6 linked regions of the Danio rerio genome follow. The protein of the gene in region 4 binds, or shares a complex with, the protein of the main gene of each other region. Links are inferred from orthologs where the notes say so. Each region holds a gene or a part of one and is shown on either strand. Other genes may lie near its edges.

What was found.
Region 1: chd4b (region 4) and cdk2ap2 share a complex: the UniProt entries of both Homo sapiens proteins name them as parts of the nucleosome remodeling and deacetylase (NuRD) repressor complex. The link is inferred for Danio rerio from reciprocal best matches to the Homo sapiens genes CHD4 and CDK2AP2.
Region 2: chd4b (region 4) and mta1 share a complex: the UniProt entries of both Homo sapiens proteins name them as parts of the nucleosome remodeling and deacetylase (NuRD) repressor complex. The link is inferred for Danio rerio from reciprocal best matches to the Homo sapiens genes CHD4 and MTA1.
Region 3: chd4b (region 4) and mta3 share a complex: the UniProt entries of both Homo sapiens proteins name them as parts of the nucleosome remodeling and deacetylase (NuRD) repressor complex. The link is inferred for Danio rerio from reciprocal best matches to the Homo sapiens genes CHD4 and MTA3.
Region 5: chd4b (region 4) and mta2 share a complex: the UniProt entries of both Homo sapiens proteins name them as parts of the nucleosome remodeling and deacetylase (NuRD) repressor complex. The link is inferred for Danio rerio from reciprocal best matches to the Homo sapiens genes CHD4 and MTA2.
Region 6: chd4b (region 4) and cdk2ap1 share a complex: the UniProt entries of both Homo sapiens proteins name them as parts of the nucleosome remodeling and deacetylase (NuRD) repressor complex. The link is inferred for Danio rerio from reciprocal best matches to the Homo sapiens genes CHD4 and CDK2AP1.

Annotation. Positions count from the first base shown.
Region 1 is NC_133176.1:43,109,549-43,114,344, reverse strand, and holds the end of cdk2ap2 (cyclin-dependent kinase 2-associated protein 2), read left to right. Parts: intron 1-975; coding exon 976-1,096; intron 1,097-3,822; coding exon 3,823-3,890; 3' UTR 3,891-4,119; downstream 4,120-4,796. UniProt on the Homo sapiens protein: Acts as a component of the histone deacetylase NuRD complex which participates in the remodeling of chromatin.
Region 2 is NC_133192.1:39,376,246-39,381,484, forward strand, and holds the start of mta1 (metastasis-associated protein MTA1), read left to right. Parts: upstream 1-1,971; 5' UTR 1,972-2,262; coding exon 2,263-2,290; intron 2,291-5,239. UniProt on the Homo sapiens protein: Transcriptional coregulator which can act as both a transcriptional corepressor and coactivator. Acts as a component of the histone deacetylase NuRD complex which participates in the remodeling of chromatin.
Region 3 is NC_133187.1:27,003,737-27,008,881, forward strand, and holds the start of mta3 (metastasis-associated protein MTA3), read left to right. Parts: upstream 1-1,678; 5' UTR 1,679-1,739; exon of another isoform or gene 1,740-1,843; 5' UTR 1,844-1,881; coding exon 1,882-1,909; intron 1,910-5,145. UniProt on the Homo sapiens protein: Acts as a component of the histone deacetylase NuRD complex which participates in the remodeling of chromatin.
Region 4 is NC_133191.1:34,980,697-34,986,032, forward strand, and holds the start of chd4b (chromodomain-helicase-DNA-binding protein 4), read right to left. Parts: upstream 3,337-5,336; 5' UTR 3,145-3,336; intron 2,533-3,144; 5' UTR 2,518-2,532; coding exon 2,469-2,517; intron 1,636-2,468; coding exon 1,526-1,635; intron 1-1,525. UniProt on the Homo sapiens protein: ATP-dependent chromatin-remodeling factor that binds and distorts nucleosomal DNA. Acts as a component of the histone deacetylase NuRD complex which participates in the remodeling of chromatin.
Region 5 is NC_133182.1:17,904,612-17,909,183, reverse strand, and holds part of mta2 (metastasis-associated protein MTA2), read right to left. Parts: intron 2,386-4,572; coding exon 2,285-2,385; intron 2,178-2,284; coding exon 2,038-2,177; intron 1,954-2,037; coding exon 1,725-1,953; intron 1,634-1,724; coding exon 1,544-1,633; intron 736-1,543; coding exon 617-735; intron 530-616; coding exon 387-529; coding exon of another isoform or gene 373-386; intron 1-372. UniProt on the Homo sapiens protein: May function as a transcriptional coregulator. Acts as a component of the histone deacetylase NuRD complex which participates in the remodeling of chromatin.
Region 6 is NC_133185.1:50,698,983-50,704,293, forward strand, and holds the start of cdk2ap1 (cyclin-dependent kinase 2-associated protein 1), read left to right. Parts: upstream 1-1,939; 5' UTR 1,940-2,616; intron 2,617-5,311. Other genes in the region: sbno1 (protein strawberry notch homolog 1), read left to right, coding at 1,760-1,902. UniProt on the Homo sapiens protein: Inhibitor of cyclin-dependent kinase CDK2. Also acts as a component of the histone deacetylase NuRD complex which participates in the remodeling of chromatin.

The sequences.
Region 1 (4,796 bases), on a different chromosome or scaffold from region 4:
ATGCAGTGCGTTTTTGTAAATTGTTTGAGTGTGTCAATGCAGTGCATTTTCGTAAATTGTTTACGTTTTGAGAATTCAGTGCGTTTTCGTAAATTGTTTGGGTTGTAAAAAATGCAGTGCGTTTTCTTAAACTGTTTGCGTTGTGAGAATGCAGCTGTTTTATTATTTTTTTTGTGTTAAAAAAGCAGTGCGTTTTTTATTTATTTATTTTTTTTTATGTTTGCGTTGGGAGAATTCGCAGCACAGCTGTCAAATGGATAAGGATCTTTACTAAATTTGCTTGCGAGTTTTGTAATTGCGCGTGTTTACTTAAATTGCAGCACATTGAGCTCTCTCGGCCACTGTACATATACCCTTGATTTATGTTTTGCTTTTATAGAAAACTGAAAATGACGGTCCTTGTTTTATGTCGCATATTTTATTAGACTAATCAGAGCAGCAGTATAACAGAAGCCTAAAATTTATTTAGTATGATAAAACTGCTGTGCTGCTTCACATGATCACAATTTGGGGGAAAAAAGGAAGAGGTTGACTGTGGCATAATAAAAGCTCCACTGTTTTTCTGCTATGTCGCACTCTTCTCTTATCAGCAATTGCTTGATTGCTTGGAAGTCCTAATTCCAAAATGTCATTTATTTCTTTAGAGGCAAAGCAGAATTTTCATTATCGTTATTTCAGTCATCAGTGTGACCTGATAGAATCATTTGTAAAACAACATAATTATTTAAAATATTTGTTTGAATATTAGTTTCCTAAACTGAAAGTGCAACCCATAATTTAACATTTTAACATACATTTGGATAAAGATAGCCAGAATGGCTTTAAATTCCCCTAAAATTCAAAGTATTGAGCCATAAATTATAAATCTTTTTGAATAATTACAAACTTTTGATTTGTAGTGTGTATTACACTTTTTTTTGTAAATAGGGTGTCACACAGACTTCCTCAACGGCTGTCTTGTTTTGTTTTTTGTAGCCGGTCAAAGTGTCCCAGGGATCTACCTATAGTGAGCTGCTCTCCGTCATTGAGGAGATGAGCCGTGAAATTCGGCCTACCTACGCCGGCAGCAAAAGTGCCATGGAGAGACTGAAGAGAGGTACTCCAAAGCCTTCTGAGCACAGTACAGCATGCAGCACATTTGTAACAGTCAGTGACGTTTAGCCCCCTGGAGTAATGTGAGCCTAAGGGCAGTCGAGAGAGTTGTTCTCAGTTTTTCAGTTCTGTGTTCGTGCAGTGTTGCTTTTGCCTGCTCTAAGAAAGGCTTTTGCATTTTACTCTGACTTATTGTTCCTAATGCTGCTTTGTGCCAAGCCTTATACACTACCTGACAAAAGTTTTGTCGTCGATCCCAGTTGTAAGAGTAAAAAAACTTGATCTCTGGTTGATCTTTTGGAAAAGTGGCAGAACATCGATTTCTTTTTTTTCAGATGAATCATGTTTTGAACTGCATCCCCAATCATTATAAATACTAAAGATGACCTATTGGAACGCGCTTGGACCCACGATTCTCTCAGAAATCAGTCTAGTTTGATAAAGGAAAAATCACGTTTGAGGTTATATTCAGTATGGGGGCGTGCGAGAGATCTGCAGAGTGGATGACAACATCAATAGCGCGAGATATCAAGACATTTGTGCTGCCCGATACATTACTAAACCACAGAAGAGGGCAAATCCCTCAGCAGGATAGCAGTCCTTATACATCAACCTCCACATCAAAGTTCCTGAAAGCAAAGAAGGTCAAGGTGCTCCAGGATTGGCCAGCCCAGTCACCAGATATGAACTTTATTGATCATGTCTGGGGTAAGATGGAGGCAGTGAATATGAATCCAAATAATCTTGATGAACTCTGGGAGTCCTGCAAGAACACTTTCTTTGCCATTCCAGATGGATTTAATAATAAGTTATTTGAGTCATTGCAGAGATGTAGGGATGCAGTCGTCCAAGCTCTTGGGAGTCACAATATTACATACACAATATTAATTCTTTATAATAATATTAATTTCTTACATTTATATAGCACTTTTCTAGACTCTCAATTGGCTTTACACATCGGTGGGGGATCTCCTCATCCACGACCCGTGTGCAGCTTCCACCTGACGCGGCCATATTGCACCAGACCACACACCAGCTGATTGGTGGAGAGGAGACAGAGTGATGAAGCCAATTATGATATGGGAATGTTTAGGAGGCCATGGTGGACAGACCACATGCTTTTAATGACCACAGAGAATCAGGACCTCAGTTTAACATCTAATCTGAAAGACGGAGCTCACTGAGCAGCTGCAGTATAGAGTCCCCTTCACTATACTGAGGCGTTAGGACCCACACAGACTGCAGGTTGAGTGCCCCCTGCTGATCTTACAAACACCTTTTCCGGCAGCAACCTAGCTTTCCCATGTGGTCTCCCATCCAGTTACTGACCGGGCGTAGCACTGCTTGGCTTTAGTGGGCGACCATGTGAGATTTGCAGAGAGCTCGCTGCTGGCTTTTTCCACTGCACCATGACTTTATATTCTATACTGGACATTATTTCTGTTAAGTGACAAGACTTTTGTCAGAGCTTATTGTCCTAATTAAATCATTAAAAATCAAGGCATGATCATATTTTATTTTGGTAAAATAAGTGTAATCTAGAGGCCTTTGCCTTTCATATAAGCCACTTCTGGTACCAAATGATCAACCAGAAGTCAAGTTACTATTTGTTGTTCCTAAAACTTGGATAAGCAGCAAGACTTGTGTCAGGTAGTGAAAATACATGCTTGGTGTTTAACAGTGATGGAAAAGGAGATTTATAAGACCTACAGGCCTAAAGCACCATCTGCTGTTAAAAATTAAGCTCAGAATTGCTTCCAGACAGAATTTCGACATATTACAAATATCTCAGAATTGATCCATGAATCAAACGACACCGATTAGTCGTCCCAGCTCCTACAGTTAGTTCTGGAATTTTTGCAGTCTGAAAACCATTCTGGAAAATGTATATCAGTGATCAATGTAACATGAGGATGCACAATGCTATCACATTTAAGCAAGTTGCATTTTTCAATCAATAACATTGACTAAGCAAATATTTAAATAAGTACATTAACACTAGTTTTAATGTCAAGAGTAAAGCTGTGGTCACACTAGAGTTTGTGTGTGCGAAATTCTGTCGTGTGGCAATGCGAAAAGGGGCGGGATTAAACAAGATGATTAGCCATTTAAAAAAGCAAGCGATTGGTCCATGTTTTCAATTCCTGTTCAAAGAGGTCATGTTTTCACTCTTGATTGGTCCCACGCAGTCAAGTGATGTGCTTTTGCAGGTCAGAGTTCACCAATTTTGAACTTTGCATTGCAGCGACCTGTAAAACTTGACGCATGACCCTGCGTTTCTGATCTGACGCATTCGCGTGCGTATGAATGGAAGTCTAAGAGGACGAAAGTCCAATGTGTGACCGCAGCTTAAGCGTACATTATTACTCAGGATTTGTTAACCCTGGGTAAATTGTGAAGCGTGTTCAATATTTCCTAAGTGTGTGAAAAGCCCTAGAATTTCTGTTAAGCTTTTGTACCGCCAGATAAATGAAGTCTGGTGTTTATCACTCATTTTTAATACAGTGTTAAGCTGTAAGGTATATATTGTGTTACTGTCGCTATATATTACGGAATAATTTTGACATGCACTGCCATCTAATGGCAATGTTAAATTTTCTGCATTTAAGACTTGTTATGAAAATATAAAAGCAAATGGCCTGACATTGCTCAAATTAATAATTGAGAGTGTTTTTATTATCATGAGGTTTTATTCAATGTGGCTTAATATGTGTTTGTGTTTTTCCTCAGGTATCATCCACGCACGTGCTCTCGTCAGGGAGTGTCTAGCGGAGACAGAGCGAAGTGCTCGCACATAACATCAACACACACACACATCCTCCCTCTGGTACTCATCTCCCCATTGTTCTGTCTCTCTCTGCCCAGCTATTTACAACACCATCTCTTTCTGTCTTTCTTATTGACCTTTGTTCCATTATGCATAGCCATCTCCCCGACGTACACCTCATGTAGTGTTACTGCGATTAGCATAGACATTTTTTAAGCCCAATTTTTGCAATTCTGTATTTAAATAAAAAACAAAATCAAGCATTTTGTCTGAATTTCAATTCCAGAGAACAAGTGTTTGTTTTAGAAAGGGAGATGGGTGATTTTCATTCATTTTATTTGGCTTTAGTCACGACGTACATGCAAAATATAGATAAAAAGCATTATGAAAATGTTTATTTGTAGTGACATATATATATAGGTATGACAATGACGGTTCGTTAACCACACAAAAACGAGAGAAGTGGATTCTTTGACGTGCTATCATCACAGTGTTAACAACGTGTCTTACGTCTTTGATTTCTCAACCTTAAAAAATTAAGTATACATAAACAATAAGGATAATATCACTAAAATAATAAACATGATAAATATAAAAGAATAACATGAAAATTGCAGGGTTACAGTTCAGTCTAGCGTTTTACTATCTTCGGATTGTCTTTCATTGTTGTTTCATTCAGACAGCCATTGGTCAACAGCACATTTAATGCACAGGTTTGAGTAATTCTTTCATCAGCTGTATTCAAATACTTATTATACAAATTAAGAAGGCAGTAAGCTGGTGTTCACCTCTTTTCCTGATTCATAGGAGTCTCAGATCCCATTGGTAACTCAATTAAAATGATAGTTCAGGAATAAATGGAGGGCCAGGCCACTCGAAACTAGATTTCAACAAAACATGAGGAACAATAAGCAGGTGACGCTTTACATGAATGTGA
Region 2 (5,239 bases), on a different chromosome or scaffold from region 4:
AAAAGTCAGTTTGTGGTGACACTTGCTGAAAATGCTCAAGACAGCACTATATACTATTAGCACAGCCATTTGAAAACTGCAGCAAAGTTAGACATCACTGCATTTAGTGGGGTATCTGAGTACAAGACACTGAATATGTATGTTTCACATGTTTACTGCATTTGCTCGTTGCAATTCTAATTTGTTCACAGCATTGTGCAAAAGTAAACACACCCTTATTTACAACAAGCATAAGCTTTCTTTGGTTAAAGCTGGGCACAACTGTAAACTATATTGCAGGACATATTGGAACTGAGCCTACAACATACACAGGTCTGTAAATAATTCATGAAATTGTTCAATTTAGAAGACATTTTCAAGAAAATAAAGATTAATTTTTTTTTAAATTTGCTTGACATATTTTTGACAGCTTGTTCAACATTTTTTTATGTAATCACTCAAGTAATGAAATGAGGACTATTAGCTTTATATGGGATGACTATTCAGCATTTACAAGTTTAGTTAATTTTAAACGACATGACATAAGCAAATGATAATGTTAAAAAAATAGAGAGTTGTATGAAAGCAATTGATGCATGTCCAAAAGCATCATTTGTTGGAAGGAATGAGAAACTGCTACTATGATGTGCACAAATGACTAATTGTTTTGAGAACTGCATTAACTATTGTGCAAATGTAAATAGTGTTGTGAGAAATGCACCAAAGCGACTGAGAAAAACTGTAACATGTCCCTGTAGTAACGCGTATAATCATATCATCAAGACACTACATCCGCAAAGCAACCAGGATTAAAAAATCTGACTCATCATTGCAGAAAGGTGTGAATTAACTTCACAACAAATGCATCAAATAATCATTGGAAAAGTTCTTACTGTAGTATTTCTTACAAACGTTACGTGAGATCTGCTTTCTTCATGTCAGTCACTGTGCTGTTTATCTGACGCAGCCAAGGTGGAGATTAACGCACACTCTAACAGGCATGTGGGAATGGTGGGCGGGGAGAACTAGCATTAAAGGCACAGGCAACAAAAACAGCTACATAGTGTTCAGAGCAGAAAATCCCAATAATCTGAATGGTATAATAAATAATCTGATGGGTGTTTTGAGCTGAAACTTTACAGATAACTGTGGAGATACAAAAGATGTATCTTAAATCTTGAAAAATGGGTATAATAGGTGCCCTTTAAAACTGAAAATAGCCATATCAGAGATGTTGGATGGTGCTCTTTTGACTCTGCCGACAAGCAACCATTCAGCAACACTAAAGAATGCATCAGGGCCAACCCAATTGCCAACACTGCTGGTTCTGGAAGAAATTTCCCCATTAATTTTCTCCCTACAAAATTTAAATAAAAAGTCTTTGTTAAGGGGCACAAAATAGAATTGGGATCAGACCATATACTACAGCCAATTTCGTTTATTCAATTTACCTATACCGCAAGAACTGTGGGGGAAACCGGAGCACCCAGAGGAAACCCAAGCGAACACGGAGAGGCAAACTCCACACAGAAACGCCAACTGACCCAGCCGGGACTCGAATTAGCAACCTTCTTGTTGTGAGGCGACAGTGCTAACCACTGAACCACCTATCACCACAAGTGCATTATAGTTACAAATATATAACAACTTTCTACTCGCACCCTCACAACCAACCACATTACCCTAGCAACCTTACAGCATTACAAAATATCAGCACTTGAATAAATCAAAGATGGACTCTTTGTTCTCTGAAAGCAAGTCCAACATGTCTGATGCTCGCCTCACAGTTTCATTAGACATTATGTAGTTATTTTTTTGCTCCTGCGTTCCATCACTTGTTTATATCTTTGTTTCAAACTCCTGTAAAAGCAACAGTTGTTTATTTCTTTCGTTCCGCCTCTAGCGGGTCCAAAGTAGTACAGCAGTGGTTCAGCCATTGGAAGTAGGCGGGGAAAGGCGAGTGATGCTGCCACACAGAGCCCCTTCCCCTCCCTCTCGCGCGCGCTCCAGCTCCGTGGCCCGACTCTGTGCTCTGCTCCGGAGTGAAGGATCCCGCTTTGTTGAGAAGGTGTTCCAAAACACGCGGGCGAATCCGAACGCGAACACGCACACCGGCCCGTGGAACGCGGCTTCATCAAAATATGTGCACTGTCTCTTTAAGATCCCTTCTCTGGTCCGCTTCGTATTGATCAATCCACCATTTTCCAGCGCACAGCACTGAGCGGCGGCGGCAGAGAGAGAAAGCCCTACCTGGAGACGCCAGGCAGGACCGGGGGCAGAGTCATGGCAGCCAACATGTACCGGGTCGGAGGTAAGAGATCATGGTTGGCTGAAAAAAATGTCGTGCCCCTTTTATGTGTGTCGCTCTCGTTCATGCTTTTTCGCAACAGGGCTTAGCAGTTTTAGGTTTGTCCTTCCTCTTTTATTTTTTAAAGTACTGTGGGACTACAGTGAGAGAGGAGGATGAGGATGGTGAATGCGAGATGAAGAGGGGCACTCTCTCGTTTCGGGACCCCGAGAATGTTTTACGCTACTACAAACTGGCGCAACATTTACTGCCGTTAGCATGATGTAGCGTGTGCAAGTGTCATTGAGTGTTAGTAACAAGCGGGCAACTCTCAAATTTACACCGAAGAAACGCGTTTGAGCTTTTAAAGTTAAAGTTTGAGGAGCACGCCTCACTTTAGGGACTCTGGCTGCTTGGAGAATTTAGTTAAAGTTGGTTGTAGATTTGCACTTTCGGACTTTCTCCTTAAAAATATAAATTCATAACAGTATTTGCAATTTCTAAATAGGCAAAACATTAGCAGCTATTGACTATCAAAGTACAACATTGCTCCCAGTCAATAAATAGTGCTAATATTGTTTGAAGTCATATTTCAGACCAGATATTTAAAGTATCATGGGAAACACTATATGAAGCATCTCACAAGTCCACTGAATATGTAAATATAAAACCTCATGTAAATATAAAAACGTCACCTCAGTAGTTAGAAACACTGTTTTGAAGGTAGATGATGGTTGATGTTCAAACCGTTGACTTTAAAATTAATGTAAAGTTTTTAAAATATTTCTACATTCAGACTTTATCTTTAATAATATGATTTCAGAAAAATATTAATTGCAAATTCTAAATAGTGAAATTATATTAGCAGCCAAAGACTATCAAAGTACAACATTGCTCACAGTCAATTAGATAGTGCTAATGTTGTTTTAAAGTCATGCCTACGTGTGATTTCAGCCGGAATATTCAAAGTACCATGGTAAACAATGTATGGAGATGTCACTGAATGAATGTGCGAATATAAAACCAACTTTACCTCAGTATTTTAAAGTATATTTTATGTAATATGAACAGAGAAAGTTTTGGCATATAGAGGTAAAGCTAATACTTGAAGTCCGTCTCAGTGAGAAGCTGTGGTGTATGAAAAAATACCAAATATAGACTATATAACGCTTGGTGTTAAAGAATAAACTTATTTGGGATGTGTTTTTACAAATTTGTCAAAACACACTGCTTTTTTCCACCCCTAATTTGGGTCACACATAAAAATTGTTCACAATTATGTGTAATTATCTGAAGCTCAGATACACAGTTAAAGGAATAGCCTAGTTAACCCCAAAATGTGCCCACTGTTCCACGGAACACAAAAGGAGATGTTAGGCAGAATGACAGCCTCAGTCACTGTTCGCTTTCATTGCTTCTTCCATACAATGAAAAGCGAATGGTTACCGAGGCTGTCATTGTGCCTAACATCTCCTTTTGTGTTCAGTGGAAGAAAGAAAGTCATACAGGTTTGAAACAACATGTGTGTGACTGAACGACGTCAGTAGTTTTGCGCAGTTTTCGGGTTATCCTGATTGCGCTTGGCTCAGGAACTGATTCTCTGTTGGTATCAATTATCCATTAGGATCTCTGCTGTTGATTTTCAGGCAATGAATGTGTGCTTACAGTGTCCGGTGTGTAATTATTGGTTTAATGAGAGTATTTGGACTAGAAAGTTTGCTGTTGATGTAGGAGAGCTGCTTGAACATGAAGACAATATGAACTTTTATCAGGAGCATTATGAGTGAATTTACATATGTTCTAATGCGTTATAATTCTTAGTGCTCTGCATAGATGTGACTAGTGTTTGTGAATCAAGTATATGGTATTCAGATTAGGGCTGTACGATATTGGAAAAATCTGACATTGCAATATATATTGTGATTTACTTCGTTATACTTGAAAAGAATTAGGGTCCACTTTATTTTAAGGTTCAGTTCTTGTTCTTTGCAAACCCTTTTGACTTTTGCTTTAATAAACTCCTTACTAATAGTTATTAAGGTAGTTTAGGTGTTGGGTAGAATAATATCATTCAGAAGATGTGCTTTGTAAGAACTAATGTGCAGCCAGTATCTCAATACCATGCATGCTAATAAGCAACTACTGGTAGTTAATAGTGAGAATTGGTCCCTAAAGTGTTACCTAATGTATTCATTTTGATTGACTGGGATGATTCTGTAGGCGACTGAATCAGAACATACAATAAACAAACTACAAGCAGAGATAAATGCAACAAAAGAATGATTAAAGTGAAATAAACAGTGCATACATTATGGTTTTGTATATGTAAATGTAAAAATTACACTGCAAAGTCAACTCAACATTGCATATCTTTGAGATGTGACTATTGTGGATGCACACATTGCGATATCGTTCCTAAAATGATGTATTGTGCAGCACTAATTGATATGTTTTTTATTTTTTATTTTTTTTTAAAGCGCTCTTGATATATCTGCTATATTTATGAAAAGGTGCAATGTGGATGCATGCAGTATATCCATCCCAAAAGCTAATGATACAGATGAACTGGTATAAATGGTGGAATTTATTTTGAAGGGTTTAAGGCATAGTTGACCAAAAAATCTATATTTACTCACTCTCAAGTGGTTCCATTCTTTTATGAGTTTCTTTTTTCAAAACGAATATTTAGAAAAATGTTAGAAACCTGCAATCTTTGAATTCTATAATAGGGAAAACATCCTTTTGAAGTCAACAAATACAAAAAAGAAAAACAGGTTTGACAAGTGTATGGGTGAGTAAACGATGACAGAATAAAACATTTTGGGTGAGCTATACTTTAAAATTCCCATTCCATACTCCTAAAACAATTTGAGAGCAAAAAGTGATCTATTTTCAGTATCTCTTCTCTCAGTATTTTTGCTCATCCACTGAAAGTTCAGGCAAGCAAAACTTTTCAGAAAGTTTTACATTTAT
Region 3 (5,145 bases), on a different chromosome or scaffold from region 4:
TGAGGCAACAGTGCTGGCCACTGGGCCACCGTGTCGCCCTATGGAAAAAAAGGGTGGAAAGTAGGGGTGGAAGGGGGGGGGGGGCTCCAAGACGAATATAACTGGAGTGAAAAACTTTGGTTATTTATAATGCTTCCGTAATCATCTAATAGAGCAGATTACAGAGCTAATGAGGTGCCAGCCGTGTTGATCATAAGCACAAGATCCTCTCGAAATTATTTTATAAATAAATCACACACAGTGAAAGAATGTGTGTGTGAATGAGAGAGTGTATGGGTCTTTCTCCTCACTGGGTTGCAGCTGGAAGGGCTGCATAAAACATATGCCAGAGTAATTGCCGGTTCAATCTGCTGTGGCGACCACTAATAAATGAAGGATAGTGAGTGAGTCAATGCAAGGCTATGTGTTGACTTTTCTTAATGGTTGGTCTTTGGTGGCTGTTACTTGCTCCCTCGCTCATCTTCTTTAAGCTTAGTTCCTGTTTTATCAGGGGTTGCCACCGCGGAAGAAACCACCAATTAGTCTGGCATATGATTTGGATGCCCTTCATACCCGCAACCCAACCCCGAGAGTACACTAATTCATGAACCCCTGTACTGGAAAGGCAGTTTCATTATGTTTATTCATTCATGATTTTACCAAAAGTGACTAATTAATGAGGACTATTTGATTTTTAATTAAAGCTGTCAATAACAGCATAAATAGGCCCAGCCAATCACACTGTCCTTATGTGTTTGTGGGAGGGAGGACCCAGGAAGAGAATGTCACTAACCATTTCTGCATATCTAGGTTAACAAGGGTTGATGGAGCATTATTTTATTTTGAAGGTGATTCAATTATTGGTGGGGATAGTTCAGTAATTGATAGATATTGGTGGGGACATATGCCCTCCATCCAGGCCAAATCTACACCTTTGCTCTGGACTGTGGGGGAAACCGGAGCACCTGGAGGAAACCCACACAAACACAGGGAGAGCATGCAGACTCCACCCAGAAATGCCAACTGACACAGCCAGGACTTGAATCAGCAACCCTCTAGTTGTGAGGCGATAGTGTTAACCACTGAGCCACTGTGCCACCTTAATGAGGTAAATAAAAGAAAAAATAAATAATAATAATAAATTCACAGCAGATTGAAAGGCAAGTACTTTTTCGGTTGTTAAATATATTATTATTTCATATACAATATATTGTTTAAACTATTAAAACCTCAATAAAAGTATTTTTTAAGAACAACAGACACAGACAGATAAAGTAGCATGCTAATAAAACCAAACAAAGTGTCAGCATTTATTATTGGTGTTAACTGGGTTTTGCCACTCATATAAATAGGTTGCTAAAACATTGTGCATCGGGTTGTGATATGTTCAAAACTAAATTAAACAGTGAATCAAGTATATCAATCTTGTTTTCCACAATTGACAGCTTTTAAAAGACACTTATTGTCATAACAAAAAAACTGGCAAAATATGAAAACGTTATTTTAAATGATTTAAATGCACATCAAAACCATGATTAATTGAATTCTGTGGGTAAAACAGTCATGAGTGTCGTGTTGAGGTTGCAGTCTGTAGACTTCATTCACCCTCCTTCTTCCTTCCCTCCTCTTTTCTCTCCTCCTCTCATCTCATCATCAGGAAGCTGCTGCGCTCGAGCCTTTTCTAGCGCGTGAGTGAGTTACTGTATTGTACTGTGAATCTCGGGAGGGGGGCTGCAAAAAAATCTCCTATTCTTACTGAGGTCCACCCCCCTTATTTAAAACTTCTTAAGCCAGATTGCTTTCCAACAGGTCACAGGACGTAGATGCCTTCTTGATTCACATATTTATTTTGTTTTTATTTTAGTTTATGGTTTGGTTTTTTAACACTCCGGGAGGGCAGAAATGGCGGCCAACATGTACCGGGTCGGAGGTATGTCCGTCTATATTCTGAATTAACGCAAGTCAAAACACAGGCACCACCGTAAGACCTGACTGGAAGGCAGGGACTCATTTCAAGCGAATTCCCGAAACCGGCCGCTCACTTTTAAACTCTTTAACACGTGCAGTGTCCTTGCAAAAGAAAACGATAACGTGGATGCAGAATATTTTGGGTTCTGATTTGGGTCAGGCCTCTTAAACTATCATAGCCGCACTAGCATTTTAGCAAGCAGGCTATGTTGCTAGCTAGCCACATCATAAACAAATAATCACTACTATATGTAAAACAATCGGAAACGCGCACTTAGAGCACGTTTCTCTTAGATTTACCCACATAGGTTAAAAGCGAGATATGCTTGCTATTTAACCATTGCAATTTTAGACGCCGATGTTTTTCTTTGTGATCATTTGTCTCATTTTTTGGCACGTATCCATTAGTTACGGGTTCTCATTCGGCATGCAAGGTAGCAAAGCGAGCTAGCATTTAACACCCCTCACTCGATTTCCTTAGAGAAACCACATTCAACTTCTGCCCACTTATTTGCCGAAGCGTTAAGAATTTGCACTGTTTTGATGTGCATTTGTTGTCACGCGTGTAATTAACAGCGTGTATTTAACAATACCGTCGCGTCGTTTGTTTGTGCAATTAGCCGGCTACATGCCGCGGAATTTGACATTGTTTCATGGCGGCGATAATGCAGTGCCATTGAAAATGCTTTTGCAGCTGGACGAGCAAACTTCCTATGAATTCACTGCAAATCTAATAGCATTTGTAATAATTGAATACTTTGCGCGGTTACCTTATGACATGCTCCTTGTGTGATGTTATGTGTTGATACATGTGTAAGAATGTCATTTAAATGGCAATGAAGAGAAAATGCTTGTTTGCATGAATGAAGTGTTTGTTAATGAATGCACATTCTTCACCTCGTCGTCTTGTTTTTGACAAATGCTATATATACAAATGTATCCCAGAAACAAACCATTTCTTAGCCTCAGTCAAAGGCCAAGCTGAAGGTCTTAGTGTCTTGTCAGGTCACACAACACAATTGGTAATGTTTTAGAATAGTAAAAAAAAACATTGCATTATAAAATGTGCCATTTCTAGGGATTTTCATCATTACCGTAATGTAAGTGCAAGAAGAATTCCTGCAATCGAAATGATAATGTTATCAGTTATGCCTAACTGTAAGGAATGTATCCTTTACCCAAAAATTCTTTAGTGTGCAAAATTGTCCGAGGCATATGCACAGTGCTGTGACTTGAAATACATGGTGTTTAAGTTTACATACATGCCTTTAGTTGCCATGATGGCATCAGGTAGAGAACTTATCGATGGAAAAAGTAAAATTTCACAAAAAATGTATGTTGCTGGTTTACGAATGTGTATGTCGTTGCCAACAGGGCAAAAATAGCAATAATGAGATCTGTTGGTGTTACTTCCATGCTGTTTTCTAAAGTGTGATATGATGTCACAAGTTTCAGTCGCAAATGTTTCAATCAGAATGTATAAAGCAAATAAACTGATGTTTGAATCTGATGATAGTTTTTAGATTGTGTAAACTGATGTGCAATTCGATTTAATTCATTTAGATGAACAGAAATTGGTGCATGAAAGCATGTCTGGTGTTTAATGTAGTTTTCTGGCTATAAAAGCAGAAACAAAACCTGCTTCACTCCTTATTTTCATGCTTAAATATATGGTCCACAAGCTTATATCACAATATTATATATAAAAATGACAAATGGCTCATTCATACATCCAAACATAGACTCTCTTAAATGTTTACATGTCTGTACTGCACTTCAATACTGCAACTAGATCGGCATGTGGCACATGTTGTAATTCGATTTCTGTTTAGTTCGATTATGACATTAATTGGATTGTTATTTTTTTATTGTGGTTTACATGGTAGACTCTTAATCAGAGTATTGTCTCGAAATGGATTATTATTATCCATGTAAACAATAATGGATGTTTAAATCCATCTCATTTGGCTACTTTACTAATTTACTGAAGTGGCCAAATGAGATGGATTTAAACATCAGTTATTGTTTACATGGACAACAATTATCTGATTTGAGACAATACTCTGATTAAGAGTCTACCATGTAAACCACAATAAAAAAATCTAATTAACGTCATAATCGAACTAAACAGAAATCAAATTACAACATGTGGCACATGCCGATCTAGTTGCAGTATTGAAGTGCAGTACAGACATGTAAACATTTTAATCAAACTGGTACTGTTGTGTAGGATTTTCGCCGCATTTTGCGTCAAGATACAGTAGTCTATACCAGGGATGGGCAAACTTGATCCTCGAGGGCCGGTGTCCCTGCAGAGCTTTGTTCCAACACTAGTCAAACACACCTGAACAAACCAATCAGTGTCTTCAAGATCACTAGAACTCTATGATGAGGTCTATTTGAATAAGGTTGGAGCTAAACTATGCAGGACACTGGCCCTCCAGGATCAAGTTTGCCCACACCTGGTCTATACACAAACACACGGCTGTTTGACATTATTCTTTGCACCTACCAAGTCAGTGAAGGACTACAGACACCTGCATCGTGAAATGCAGAGGTGTTTTTCTCAATAAGGTGTCTGGTATCAAATTTCATTAAAACAACACTCTTGCAGCAGTTCATACTCGCATTCAATATTTCGTTTGTCTAAGGGGGCATACATGAGATATTGTTGAATGAAAGTGAAGTGCCAAATTGCAGTTAAAGTCAACAAATTAAAAATAAAACTCCAGAGGAAATGTGGATAGTGTGGTGGCCCAACGAAATTAATCGAATTATGTGCTTTTAACATGTAAAACATAACAGGGACATTCAAAAAGCAACTCATGTTAACAACTTAACCATGTTATTGTCTTATTCAGATTAAAGCTAATAATTTGATTACTGATGTCCATGTAAACGTAGTCAATGTTCCCTCCTTTTTACTTGTGGACTGGTAAACACAAATCCTTCATAATACAATTTGTAAACCTTCTAATGAATAAATATCAGCGGGAACCAGTCGTGCCCCAGTTCATTGTTTCGAGTTGTATTTAATGTAATTTTATACAATGACAGGTTCGGGATTTCTAGTTTGCATTTGTTTGGTAAAATTTCTTATCAAAGAAGATATAGTGTCCCAATTACATCCATGTTTAGTATATAGAGTTAGATGAATTTGTACAATAGTATAGTGATGTATATAATAGTATAATGATG
Region 4 (5,336 bases):
ACACTTTTACTGAACAAATTACAGTATGTACATTAAAAAAAAGATCATAATCATATGATAATGAAAATGTGTGTAAATGGAGGCTGAGAACACTGTAACACGTCTTAAATATTGTTTTAGTCATTCTAAAATGCCTTTACTGTTTCAGTATTAGTGTATATTATTAATTACCTCCGAACGTTTGGTGCGTGTCAAGAGTCTCCGCGTCTCATGGCTTCAGACGCCCCCACGTGTTCATTGTGTTTCAGCATTGTCTTCTGACATCGAGGCACAAGTACATTAATTAGGCTAAATAAAGAATTAATTGACGCAGCTTCTTCTACCACAGTAAATTCTGTTTTTACTGTTGATATTTGGTGCCAGTTAAATCAGGAAGTGACAATTTTTTTCTCTTTGACTCGTTGGATGGAATTTTATTCGCATCTTTTATGCAATATTCCAGTTTTGCACATAAATTTATGTAATATATTTGGATGGAAACATAGCTATTGCCTACATTTTAGTCACACACAGAAGAACTGTACTAGAATGGCTTATGCTTTTTTAATAAATAATTAAATTGAATTCACCTTCGATATGCACTGTAACTAGATTAATGGGATTATTATTCTTTCTAAAAATTATTTTTAGTACTGCTTACCTTCTAAATGTTATATTAACCTCTATCACTTGATCAATAAAAAAGACAGACACACAAGTGCACTGTTAAATCATTTAAAACTAATAAATGTATAAAAGAAAGTTTAGAAAAAAATATATAAACTTCACAAATTACATTACTTATTTTATTATACTTAAATATTTAAATACCTAAAAAGTTAAATTAGGCATTATCTTGAGCAGCTGTTTTCCCACGCTAACTGGTTGATGGCTGCTTCTTTTCAAATATATACACTCATATTTGCTATAACTTTGCATGAGAACATCAAGTTCAGCTGGAGAAAGAAATGCTGATCTCTTTTATAAGATATTGCCATAGTCACTCGTAATGTCTGCGCTCCACTGATAATGCCTTTTTATAGTCACGGTGTGCGCGCTTAACTCTGAGTTGGTCTACTCGAAGTTGATTGACCCAACTCAGATCAGCTGTTCTGAAACCGAAAACTCAGAGTTTTTAATATCTCGGTAAATCAACTCAGAGTTCAAGTTTAAACTCTGAGTTGTTTGAACCTCCTTACTGAAACAGGCCCCTGGTCTATCTTCCCTGCGTCTGTGTGGCTGCTGTAGTGCATGTAATCAAACTCCTCTTTTCATGCAAACCTTTTCCTCTTTCGCCACTCCCACCTAAACAAAGCTGGACTCACCCACTTTGCTGACGTTTTTAAACTAGAGGTGTGAAAATACCCTGCTAAAACAGAGGGGGTTTCATGGCCCTTTAACAATGAAAACAGCTGCAGTGAAAACTCAGCGATACATTTTTGATCAATAGATAATTGAAAAGAACAGTAATTATATCTGAATAATGCTGAAACTATGTCACTGTTCAATCAAACGTGTCCTTGTGTATGTTGTGTTTGCGTGTCACCTCTCTGATGACTTTCTGTCGTTTGCTAGTCCTGCTTTCACGACTCTTCTTTGCTTTCTTCTTCTTTTTGGATTTGGGAGTATCTGTTTCTGATATTTGTTCTTCGATATCTGTTCAAAACACAGACGTGAATGAATCATACATGAAAAATTAAAAGCTGCACAATCCTCTTTCTTTTGATTGCATGTCTGTCCTATCCTTCCCAAGCAGAGAATATTATATTATGCATAAGACTGGAATATGTGAAATCCTAATTATTTTCTTAAGGACTAAGAACTAAATGCAATTAATGACTTTAATAGATGAACTTCTAGCCATTACAACAGTTTAGTCTTCAGAATACATCACTTTCATGCCTTCCTGCCTTAAGATGTACCCAACTGTCCAAATATGTTAGCAGCTGTGAAACTAGGGCATAAGGCTCTTGCTTTTGAAATCATTCATTTATTATAAGCTCTCTGCTGATAGGCTGCAATACCAGCGCCATTACTGAGGGCAGCCAGGAGAGGAAAAGCAAAACAAATGGGTTCGACACACTATGCTAAACAATATTCCGCGCGGTGTGATTGCTAAGGTACAAAATCAAGCTAGTTTCGCTTTTAATAAGTTAAGTACAGTATCAAATAGGTTTCTCTTCGTTTAAATGTGCTGGTTGTAATACAAGCCAGTGAATCAGGAAGTGACTTCTGCATGCTGATGCTCCTTCATAAACTAAAGATTGTACTTAATAGGTACTGCGATGCGGTAACACGTGGCTTGGAGGCTCAAACAAACAAAACATACAAACATTCAATCCGCCATACTCTTCCTCACAGAAACGGCCATTTGTCCAGATCTACGTTGACAAGTCAGCAGTTCATTTGCATGTTTGGGCTCATTTTGGGAAGGTTATATAACATGATGTGGTTAATGAGGGTCCGGACTCTGTTCTGGACAGCCTTACCGTCTCCCATGGGTTCAAAGCGGTCCCGGTCGTCTTCACTCCCCGACATTTTCCCGTTTGGACGCTGAATAAAACAGAAATGACCACAGTATTTTGTAATGGGCTTTAGCAGCACCCCATGTTAACACCGAGAGAAACAAGTGACACGGGAGGCTAACTGTGTTTAGATTAAATGAAATCAATTAAACATGTTGGCATGTCATCATCACACGGCGTGCAGTGTTAAAAAGAGTTTGACGTAGTCGTATAATTTCGGCTTTTTTCGTAAACTTTCTCGTTCGGTCCGAGCAAAGGAAGCCTCAACTTAGCTGTCAATCAAGTTAGCAAAGCTAGCAAACAGAGTCAAGTGATCCGGCTGCAGGGAAAATGGCAGCCGGCTGGATGAGTTGAGTTAAAGCGCTTATCTGCTGTCGTTTCTGGTTATATTCGTCAACCTAAAACTTTCCTCCATGAGAATACCACGCGGAGGTGGCGAAGCCCCCGACAAACACCATATGGCGCGTTATGACGCGAGGTATAGCAGTTGTAAGTAACAGTTACCAGTAATATTACGTTTGTATGTTTGTTTTCTGTTTTAAGCTACATTAAGAAAAAACTCAACAAAAACATACATTTGTATATCTACGTTATATCGTTAACGCGGGCGGTTGGAAGTGGGTGGGAGGAATTGACTTACAGGTCAGTCCAAGGTGTAGATGGTCGGCGCTACGATCAGCTTTTATTCTGACGCGAAATCTGCAGGTTACTACCTACCACTACAAAAATAAAAAAACAAGCTCCGAAAAGGTGTAAATCTTTGGGAGACGTCGTCCACTCTTCTCCCCTTTCCCCAGCGTCAGTGACCAGAAGCGAACATCCTCGTACACACAAAGAAATCAGGGGGGGTAGAGACATCCCATAATAATCCCAGGCACACTGCCCCCTCCCTACAACACTCACTCAACTCTGCATAGTTACCTCGCAACCTACAGACCATAATACTCATCTCCCCCTCACACACAGTAGCAAGTATACACTGCCTTCCCCTTTCTTAGTCCCTGCCCCCTTAGCAACCGCGTTGCTATGGAGACACTGCCCCCTCCCGCCCTCTCTGCCATCCCATAATACTAATAAGCAGGCCGCTCTGACATCCCATAATAAACACAACTCCTAAAAGAGAGGGAAGAAAAAAAACAACACCAGTCACATGGTCTCCAGGGAAACCCCAGGCCGCTGGCGACAGCCCATAATAATCTGCGGCTGTCTGTCCACCTGGCTGGGTTTTTGGTGCACGAGTGACAAAAAACCCATATGAGCACCTGGTTAGAAGTCAGGCTAACAAGTAGTGCGCTTCGGGTATCTGTCAAATGCCACACACTCACAAGAGCCGCAGTTCCCAGTTTCAGAGGTGATGAAATGTCATCAGCGCTTCTTTTAATCGCATATCAGGCCCGGAGATTGATGAGTCTAGGGGAAACGGTGAAATAAACACTAACTTTTGTGAACTGCGTGTGCTGTGACAATCTCAAAAAGAAGCCCGGGACATGCTTAGAGAGTCTGAACTCCGGTGACTTCAGCTGCTTGGGCTTACAACAGGTCGAGGAGACTTCTCAAGAGAGGAAAATGCAGAAGTTACATTCTCATCCGTACACATTTAGATTTGGCCAAGATTATCTATTTAAAGCAGGAGGCAAACCTAGCAGTCAGTTCTATTTATATGCATACGCCATGTCTTATTATAGGAACTTGCCATTCATAAAGACAGATGTGTCACTGCGTTTCCCATATTTACTCAAATGTCATAGAACTGACCCTAATGCTGAAACACAGCCAGCTGACAGCAGAGCAACTAGTTACATACGCCATCAGATTAAAAGGTTAGTTCGCCCAAAAATGACAATTCCAATCGCCTGAGACCTTTGTTCATCTTCAGAACTTAAATGAGGATATTTTCAATTAATTCCGAGAGCACTCCCATCCTTCATAGACAGCAATGGTCCGCAGACATTCAAAGTCCGGAACAAACCCTGTCAAACCCTTATATGTGACTTCAGTGGTTCATCTGTAATCATCCCAAGCTCCGAGAACACTTTTGTTTTCCAAAAAAGCTTTAAGAATGACTGTTCACCTATATCTTCTCATCCATGTCAGGCTGAAAGGGTGTGTCTTTACTGCAGGCAGTGCGTAGTACTGCCATAGGGTATATGCAGAGCTAGTGTTTCTTCCCATACTGATAAACCCTTCGGTGAACAGTTAATGTGACTTTTTACATTTTACACGGTTCCTTTTACAGCATCGATGTTGTAATGTAATTAAAATACAATCCGTTAAATAGACTTTGGCTTTCATTTAGTTGCTCAAGCGTAAAACAAGTTGAAAAGCTGTTTACATGCACACGCCCGTCAGTATTAGTAGAACTCCATTGAATATACTGGGCTAAAATAAATGTTCATATTTTAAAGACATGGCGGGGGAAAATGTAATTCAATGCAGTAGTTCTTGTATAATCTGAGACCCACTTTATATCGGATATCACTCAGCCAGTGGAGATTGCTGACTTTCAAAGAAATCAGACCTTAAACGCGCCAATTTTGTAATAGTATACAGTTCACCGGAAGTGCTTGACCCAGATTACTGACAAATTAAAAGTCCTTCTGCATGCTTCTGCATATACGCCATTAGAGTCAACAGAGCAACAATTACAAATGCCAGAGCGGCCAATTACATACAATTAAAATACTACCCATCTGTGCACGCCCTTGATAATGTTTACCAACTCCTATTCTATAAAAGCACAAAAGCCATAAAGGTAATAATGAGAGGTGACAAATTAAAAGCTTTAATTTTTTATTTATTATTATAATAAAATTATAATCCACGCTGGAAGCC
Region 5 (4,572 bases), on a different chromosome or scaffold from region 4:
AGGATATTCTGGACAAAGCCACAATAAGTGCTTTCTCTGCCATGATGTAACAGTAAATAAAGCAGTTGCCATGCCAATTTTCAATTATAAACAAAAGCTTGCAATGGTTGCCCCACCTCCGAGCTCTTCTAAATAGTCCACTGCATTTGAAGCTCACAGAAATGAGCTGCACTGCATGTGAAAGTTCTAAAAAACGCTGTCAAATAAGGCAAGACACAAACGTAACGTTCAAGCATGTCCGTCAAGCGTGTGTTTACATTGGAAAACAATAGGAAAGTAGCACGTTGCAAAGGAAAAACGCATTTTGTGTGAACGTCCCATAACAGCATCAGAATACATAAACTGAATGAAAGTAATCAAATGTGAACACACCCTGAAACGCATACCTGGTGTCTTTCGTAGCCACAAACACCACAGGATTGGGAGCATCGCCTTGACTGACTTTCTGCCTCTTGATGACGGACTGGTTGGCTGCTCTCATTCCCATTGCAAACGGTCTTCCGTTGGTGGAGAGCAAATGACCTCCAGCCTGTGGCCAATGAGGGTGCTTAGATCAATGTACGCTACTTTTTCTACCTCTGGGAAAGGCTAATGTACATTAGTAAGGGATACTCACATTGTCGAAGGGCCTTTTGCCCAGCAGGGCAGATGCGCTGCGAGGCTGGTTAACCTGGTTACGGTTGATCGGGGTTGGAGCACCTCGAGGGGCTTTGAGTTTCAAAGGAGCTTGAATGGCTAAAAAAGTAATAAATAAAACGAGTACATATTACTCTGAATACTCTGAATAAAATTGTGTAAAATAATAAATAAGAGTCAAATGATCAGTCTTGAGCCATACTTATTCACTTTTGAGTAGTTTTTTCCCCACCACGAAGCCAAGAGTATACTTTGCAGTTATTTAGGTGTGTGTTTACATTTACAGTTGCAACTCACTACATTCGCATCAGTGTTAATTTAATCAAAAGAAGTGGCTTGACAAACAAAAACAATCCCTCAGATTATACTAAAAATGAATATTGGTTAGTTTTTTTTTAGGACAAGTGTCATTGAACAGTAAGAAATCTCCACTGTGCTGAGCGAGAGCGCTTCTCTACTGAACAGCGCATCAGCGATGACGTAAGCGTGCCAGGGCTCGAATGTAAGGCGAGTGCGGGCCGCCAGGGGAGATGGGAATGGCGATAAGCGTGCTTTGGCCCAGTTCAAGGCAACTGTACATAGTTTGAGTACGCCCTTAATACCTTCACACCTTTGAATGCTGTATCCAAAGGCAGCATTTTAGAGCTTTTGGACACAGCCTTTAAATAAGATCTGTAATAATTCTTCTTGTTTTGATTCATCTCATCTATTTCAAAATGTCAAGCGAGTGGTCTGCTTCAGTGTTGAGACCAAGTAGACAAAGTATATGCATACCTGCTGCCAATGCACATTGTGTGTAGACACTTGCATATACATAAAAACTGACTGTACACTTTAGGCTTTAAAAGTCAGCTAATTTGATAAGATGTAAGCATGTCTCTATTATGAAATAATGCTGAAGCCATACCCAAATCTTTAACTATATTGATGAGGGATGGTCGAGGAATAGGCCGGTTTTTCACACCACTCTTTGCTGCTTTGGGAAGTCTTATCATACCTAAAAGAAAAGAAAGAGGCAGTCAGACACATCTTCATTCAACTGTATAAAACAGCATTTTTTTATTTATATATTGCATAAAAAGACTCACACTCAGCTTTGACAGCATTGGCGTTAATGGAAGCGTACGGGCGACGGGCTGCTCGACGAGACTGCAGGATGTCCTGGCACACACGACGGGCAATTCGAGTGAGTTTGGTGGTCTGCAGGATAAAGGTCTGCCTGTTTTTGGCCAGAAGTTTAGCTCGTCCCGCACTGCTGGTAAACGGGGACATTCCCTGCACCTCCTGACGGGTCATGTGACCACGCGGAGCTGCTTCCTATTGGACAGATATGATGTTCATTTAGCTATATACTCATTTTCTGGCTGTATATATTTTTAAAAGACGTAGGTGTTGACATACTGAGCTGGCTCTTGTGGCGCCCTCTAGTTGAGTTGGAGTCTTCAGACCACCGTATTTCTTCCAGTAAATCCAACAGGACGAACATAGTCGACACTGCATGTTAGGAGGACCCCATGCATACCACTGCTGAGACTGGGCAGCTGCAAGAACAACAGGCCATGATAACACATACAGTATAGTGCATGGGAATTACTCAGCTTGTATCTAAATACTGTTTGTGGATGTTTGCAGTGGCGAGTTGACTCACTGTGGCAGCTTTCACAACTGAGGCCTTTCTGGTAGCCGGTGGCACCGTTCATGCCAGGTTTATTTCCAGGTGCTGTGATCTGGTTGGGGTTGGGTTTGGTGCTGAAGGAGGGATGAACATTTTGATTGGTAAACAGAAGATAGACATGTACAAACCATTTGAGATTTTCAAGAGACCTCACAGCCGAAAGTTAATTGCAAGTATAAAATACACAAAGTAGGGGTGTTTGCATTAATTGATTAACTGTTAACCGAAGGAATGCATATTTTATCAATTAATGTATCAGTTAAATGGTTTAAAATATTCTTTTTTTTTAATTAGTATTTTTTAAGTTTTGCTGCATAAATGTACAACATGTATTTGTTAACCCGCCGGGCGGTAACAAGTGCAACTATAGACGTATTGTGCTAAATAAGCAAAATGAAAGGAGTGAAAATAAAGACATTGATGGTCACAGTTTGAAACAGACAAGTTGATGCCAAACCAGTGCTGATAACCCTTTTCCAGGATCTGCATTATAAACACCTCAGTGTCTTAGCAAAAGTAGAGAAAGAAGCCGCAAACTTTCTGAAATGTCCACTGTTGGCCACAAGTCGGAGCAACCCACAAACCAACATTTTTTTTCATTGGAAAAATTATTTACAGTTCTTATAAAAGATCCATTAAAAAAATAGCCAACATAACTTAATCTACGAATTAGGGTGCTTTCACACCTACACTTTTGTTTCGGAACGTATCTCGTTTGCCCAGTTAGCGCGGTTCGATTGGCATATGTGAACAGGGCAATCGCGCTCTGTTCCGCGCCAAAGTAATCGCTCCGAGATCGCTTGAGTGAGGTGGTCTCGGCTCGATTGAAACGAACCCTGGAGCGGTTCGATTGCAGTGAGAAAGCGATCCGATCCGAGCGCGCTTATATCACAGTGTTTTATGGATATGTAATAGGCTTACGGCTATATGAAGAGAGAATTATGAGTAGGGCGGGAAGTTTCGCGAGTCTCCGGATGCCCGCAAACGAGTGATGATCTCCCGGTAATCTCGCGTCTCTCTCCCAGTCCTCAAATAGGCATCGTCGCGCACCCTTCTCACCCCTCCCCACCGCATCTCTCCTCAGACACGTCACACGCGCGCACCCTGTCAATCACCACCAAACCACCACCTCTCCTGACAGCTGAGCGGGACGCTGCAAAATAAACCCTGACACTCTGACCAATGTGAGGAGAGTTTACTCGCACGTGACTTGTTTTAGCTCTTTTGGTCCGATTAGAAACTTTGCAATGTGAAAGCGAACCGCTCCAAGAGCAAAGAGCAACAATGTAACAATTTTAATCTCTGTTTCGGAACAACTGAATCGATTCACAGGTGTGAAAGCACCCTTAAACAAATCCAATGATTTAGGCTATTTGATTTTTGCATATTAATAGCTATGTAAAATATAAAATGTATATACAAATGAATGCAAACTATGTAATTATAAATGTATACTATATGTAGCCTTTAATTTAAAAAAAAAAAAAAAAAAAAGTCAATCTATGCACCTTGTTGTTTGTCTCGCAAAGAGTGCTATCAAACTGCGAGAGAGACAGAGCAAATGAAAGCACAGAAGCTCAAAGTTAAAATCAGATGCTCAAGACAATCTTTAAACCAATGACTTCTATAAAAAATGTTGACAGAGGTTTGCGATATAGAAATTATAGCGGAGCATTAATTAAATGCATATTTTCTATTGAGGGATCGATTTGACTCTGCTATTTTTATTTGAGGGAAGAAAAAAATATGATTGGGGGAAAAAAAAAACAAAACTTATGCCAGTTAAAAAGGATGAAGTCTGTGTTTTCGTTTTGTAATCTAAAATTGTCATTTAAGTGAAAAATAGTTAGGGCAGGATTATTTATTTTATTCTTTTTATTTAGTTTATTCAGAGTTTCTAAGCAGTTGGAAACACTGCAAGTGCGTGAAGATGTTTTGTTATTATGTATTATGCGATGCAGATGGGGACAATTCTATAATGGTTCAGTAATCGATCATAACCGGTTATTACGTACTAACGTCATTTATCTCCTACTTGCACAACTACTACTACTTAAAAGGTAGATAATTATGCACAGTTTAACTGCTTGTAAGTTTGCTGGAAAGTCTTTCATTGAAACTGAAGAAGGCACAGCACACGAGGCGCTATTTGACTACTAGAGAGAAATGCTGTAAAACTCCATCCCCCCCCTCTCTCTCTCACTTTGGACAGTTGACCCGCTGGTGTGTTTGTGAGGTAATTTTTCCTCTCCTATTGGCTG
Region 6 (5,311 bases), on a different chromosome or scaffold from region 4:
GGAGAGTGAAGCGCTGTCAGTTCTCTCAGGATGCTCTGTATATTCACTGCGAGTCCTTTATTATGCAGCATAGTGTTTCTACTAAACCCGGACTTCAGACACACCACTCACACAGATACTGTATTAAACCAGGGTCCCCGCGGGGTCTTAAAAAGTGTTAAAGTCTTAAATTAAAAAATCGAAATTAAGGGCTTTAAAAAGTGTTAAATTCGCTGTTCTGGGTCTTAAATATTTCTGCACTGGTCTTATTTTTGTGATGTCCATGTACCGCTACATCTAATGCTCATTTAAATTCTTGTTATTGTTGCTTGGTTTTTGGGGTGTTGTAGTTCTTCTGTATTTCACTAGTCCAATTGTAATTTGCGGTATTACAACTACAAAAAAGTCAGCTTGCAATAGCCAATCAGCTTTCTGTTATTAAACTCAGTGCGCGCGGTGAATGTGACGTCATCGCTGTGTTTGCGGTAGTTCGCTTTGAGTGTGCGTGATGATTTCGGCTGGCAGAGTGTGCCGTTATTTCACTGACAAATGTCGCAAGTGCAGTTTTATAAGTCGGGAGCGCTGTAATACGAGAGAGCGAATCTCTGCTCACGCACCGGTTTCCTTCATAGACAAAACTGCTCGCGAGCTCTCAAAACACCGGCTGCTCACGTGCGAATGATCTGCTCTCGCTCGGTCGCACTCCTCTCGTGCTTTTCCAGAGATGCTTCAGCGTACTGTAGTGTTAAGAATAGTGAACTGATAAATGAAATACAGTGCAGTTTTACTACAGTAAAGTGTGGTGAATTGTAGAATAATATACAATATATTGTAAAAAACTTAAGCACTGGGGAGTTTATTATACACTTACCATAGCAACTGTAGTATTACCACAACAGAGTAACTGAAGCACTTTACTGTACTTCACACAACACTGTACAGCAGACACGTGTGCACTTTATTTCAGTGATAAAATGGGACTGATAGTGGGATTTATTTGAAGAGTGAACAGTACAGTAGGCTATAATACATAATCAAGTCTTTACCTATTTTCTATCACAGCTACACTTCTGCTTGCCAGATTGACCAATAATTATTGGCTAGAAACTGCAACAGCCATGGGAAAGGAGGAAAGCTTTTGTAAAACTTTGGGAAAACTCTGAGGGATGAGTTTGTTAAAACAAAAAAGAGGCCTTCAAAAACATCTTCAGTGATGATGATGATGATCTTTTTACTCGTCTGATTTTACTGTCTGTTGTTTTGGAGTGCCCCCTGTCAAAAATATATCTCAATGGTGAACGTGTCGAGTATAAAAGTCTTAATCTGTTTTGTGAGTTGTGCGGCGCCAGGTGAAAGTATAAATCTGCATTTAGATGTTTGTTTTTCTGTAGTTCACTGGTGCATTTAACCTGACTTTACTACTGTTCAATCTAAATAACTTTATTTTACCCCTAATTTTGTGCTTCTACATTTTCTGTCGTGTGTTCTTGATATTGCGATATAGGTCTTAAATTTAATACTTAATGGTCTTAAAAAGATCGTAAAAGGTCTTAAATTTGACATCATGATATCTGCAGAGACGCTGTTAACATGCTATACAGTGCAGAAGTGTGTGATTCGGGACACAGCCAGAGCCTCACTCCTCCTCCGTGTGTGTGTGTGTGTGTGTGTGTGTGTGTGTGTGTGTGTGTGTGTGTGTGTGTGTGTGTGTGTGTGTGTGTGTGTGTGTGTGTGTGTGTGTGTGTGTGTGTGTGTGTGTGTGTGTGTGTGTTTTCCTCAGGTCTGATCATCCCGCAGAACTGTGTGTCTCCGCTGGTCAACATCCTGTCATCATCAGATCAGAGTCAGCAGCTGGCGGTGCAGCAGCAACATTTATGGCAGCAGCTGCACCCGCAGAGCCTCACACACACACCTCTCACGTAACACACACACACACACAGGACAGACCGACTGCGCTCAGGGTTTCCCACAGTCCCCCGGGGTCTGCTTCTCCTCCAGCATGCGGACAGACGCTCTGCATGGATCAGCTCCGCTTCAGGACGTGGCTCTGTCTCCTGGCCGTCTGAGAGCGTGTGGCGGGCCGGCTGGAGCCTCTCCAACTCTTGCTTTTTAATGGTTCTTGTTTTTGTGTTGTTGTGTGGAGGAGCGGCTCCCGGAGCTCGTCTGCTGTACATGTTGGACTCTTCTCTCTCCGTGTATATCTGACATGTGATGTTCTTCTGCTCTGCGTGTCCTTCATCTCTGCACGAGTTGCACTACTGACGGATCTGATGTACAGAGAATATAACTGACTGCAAGACCTCTACCTCTTGCATTTGACCAATAAATCTTGTGGATTACCTCGATTTGACGGCTGTGGTTCATGTGATGTGCTCCTCTGTTGTGTTCAGCTCAGTGGAGGAGAGGAGACGGCACGCCTGCTCACCTTTACATTCTGCAGTTCATCTGCAGTTATAAGTGAGAGTAAGTGAATCATGTGCATTTATACAGTTCATACACATGACGACAACACCACCAGTGTGCAGGACAACAGCGCCAGTGCTTCACCACACACCAGCTAGAGGTGGAGTGGAGAGACAGTGATGGAGCCAGTTCAGTGGATGGAGCTGATGGAGGGAGTTTGGCCAGGACACCGAGGTTACACCCCTACTCTTTACCAGAAGTGCCCTGAGGTTATTAATGAGCACAGATAGTCAGGAGCTTTGTTTTAGGTCTCATCTGTAAGACTGAAAACCACTGATAGCCCCACCCTAAATTACTGAAAGCTCTGCCCTAAATTACTGATAGCCCCACCCTAAATTACTGAAAGCTCTGCCCTAAATTACTGATAGCCCCACCCTAAATTACTGATAGCCCCTCCCTAAATTACTGATAGCCCCTCCCTAAATTACTGATAGCCCCTCTCTAAACTACTGATAGCCCCTCTCTAAATTACTGATAGCCCCTCCCTAAATTACTGATAGCCCCTCCCTAAATTACTGATAGCCCCTCCCTAAATTACTGATAGCCCCTCTCTAAATTACTGATAGCCCCTCCCTAAATTACTGATAGCCCCACCCTAAACTACTGATAGCCCCTCCCTAAATTACTGATAGCCCCGCCCTAAATTACTGATAGCCCCACCCTAAATTACTGATAGCTCAGCCCTAAATTACTGATAGCCCCACCCTAAATTACTGAAAGCTCCGCCCTAAATTACTGATAGCCCCACCCTAAATTACTGATAGCCCCTCTCTAAATTACTGATAGCCCCACCCTAAATTACTGATAGCTCCTCCCTAAATTACTGATAGCCCCTCTCTAAATTACTGATAGCCCCTCCCTAAATTACTGATAGCCCCACCCTAAACTACTGATAGCCCCTCCCTAAATTACTGATAGCCCCTCCCTAAATTACTGATAGCCCCACCCTAAACTACTGATAGCCCCTCCCTAAATTACTGATAGCCCCTCCCTAAATTACTGATAGCCCCTCCCTAAATTACTGATAGCCCCACCCTAAACTACTGATAGCCCACCGTAAATTACTGATAGCTCCACCCTAAATTAATGATTGCTCCGCCCTAAATTAATGATAGCCTCAACCTAAATCACTGATAGCTCCACCCTGAATTACTAATAGCCCCACCCTAAATTAATTATTGTCCCGCCCTAAATTATTGATTGCCTCACCATTAATTACTGATAGCCCCACCCTAAATGAATGATAGCCCCTCGCTAAATTGCTGATAGCCCCACCCTAAATTAATGATTGTCCCGCCTTAAATTACTGATAGCTCAACCCTAAATTGATGATTGCCCTGCCCTAAATTAATAATAGCCCCGCCCTAAATTACTGATAGCTCCACTCTAAATTAATGATAGCCCCGCCCTAAATTGTTGATAGCTCCGTCCCTAAATTAATGATTGCTCCGCCCTAAATTAATGATGGCCTCACCCTAAGTTACTGATAGCTCCACCCTAAATTAATGATTGCCCCGCCCTAAATTAATGATAGCCTCACCCTAATTTACTGATAGCTCCACCCTACATTAATGATTGCTCCGCCCTAAATTAATGATAGCCTCACCCTAAGTTACTGATAGCTCCACCCTAAATTAATGATTGCCCCGCCCTAAATTACTCATAGCTTTTCCTTGAACACAGACAGTTCAACTTTAAATTATTTCTAGCCCCGCCCTAAATTACTGAAACCTTTTCCATCCAGACACTGATGCGGCTGTGGCAAGGTAAAAAGTTGTAAGACACGATGTCGTCACGTGGAGGAGTTTATGCGTCTATAAATCACGTATTTCATATTTAGAGGGTGAAAAAACAATTCTGGCGTATTTGAAGAATTTTAAAGGGACAGTTCATCCATAACTGACAATGCACTCACCCGAGAGTGTGTTAAACTGTTATAGGCTTCACTTCTCTGTCAAACACTGAAGATGATATTTTGAAGAATGCTGGAAACCTGTAACCATTGACTACCATAGTGTCTGCTTTTCTATTATGGCAGTCAATGGTTACCGGTTTTCAACATTTTTTTTTTTTAACATCTTCAAACAGAATAGTCAGAGTCAAAAGTGAGTAAATATTGATTTTTGAGTGTACTGTCTCTTTAAAAATGTTACAAGCCTGTAACCATTGACTTCAATAGTGTGAAACAAATACAGTAGAAGTCAATGGTTACCCTTTTCCAGCGTTCTTCAAAACATCGTATTTGGTGTTCAGCAGAAGAAATAAAGGTGGTGTGAGAGTTAAAGGGTGAGTAAATGAAGACGCTATTGTCATGTGTGGGGGAACTGACCCTTTAGCTCATGGCTCTTAAACTGGATTCCTGCAGTTTTCCCCACTCCTAAAGCTGGTCAACCAATCGAGATGTTCAACACTACTAGAGACTGTTAAGCAGCTGTGTGGTGGAGATGGAGGTGGTTGGAGATGAACTATGCAGAGCTTGTTTGAGTTTGAGACGGCTGCTGTAGTTTCTTTAACACGAGTGTTCATGATCAGAACTCAAGCTTTCCCTCATTAACTGAACATGTTTATTAATACTCGCTGATGGACTTCAGTGAGCACTGCTCAGAATGACTCGTTCTCATCTTGACATGCTGTAAACCAGTGTTTCTCAACCATGCTCCTGGAGGAGCACCAGCACTGCATGTTTCGGATGTCTTCTTTGTGTGTGAGACTCATTACAGGTCACCGTCTGCTAATGAGCTAAATCAGGTGTGTTTGGTGAAGGAGACCTGGCTAATGTGCAGACCTGCTGCTCCTCCAGGAACATGGTTGAGAAACACTGCTAGAGTTGATGATGAGCTATTGGGTTATTAGGCAATAATGTGAAGTG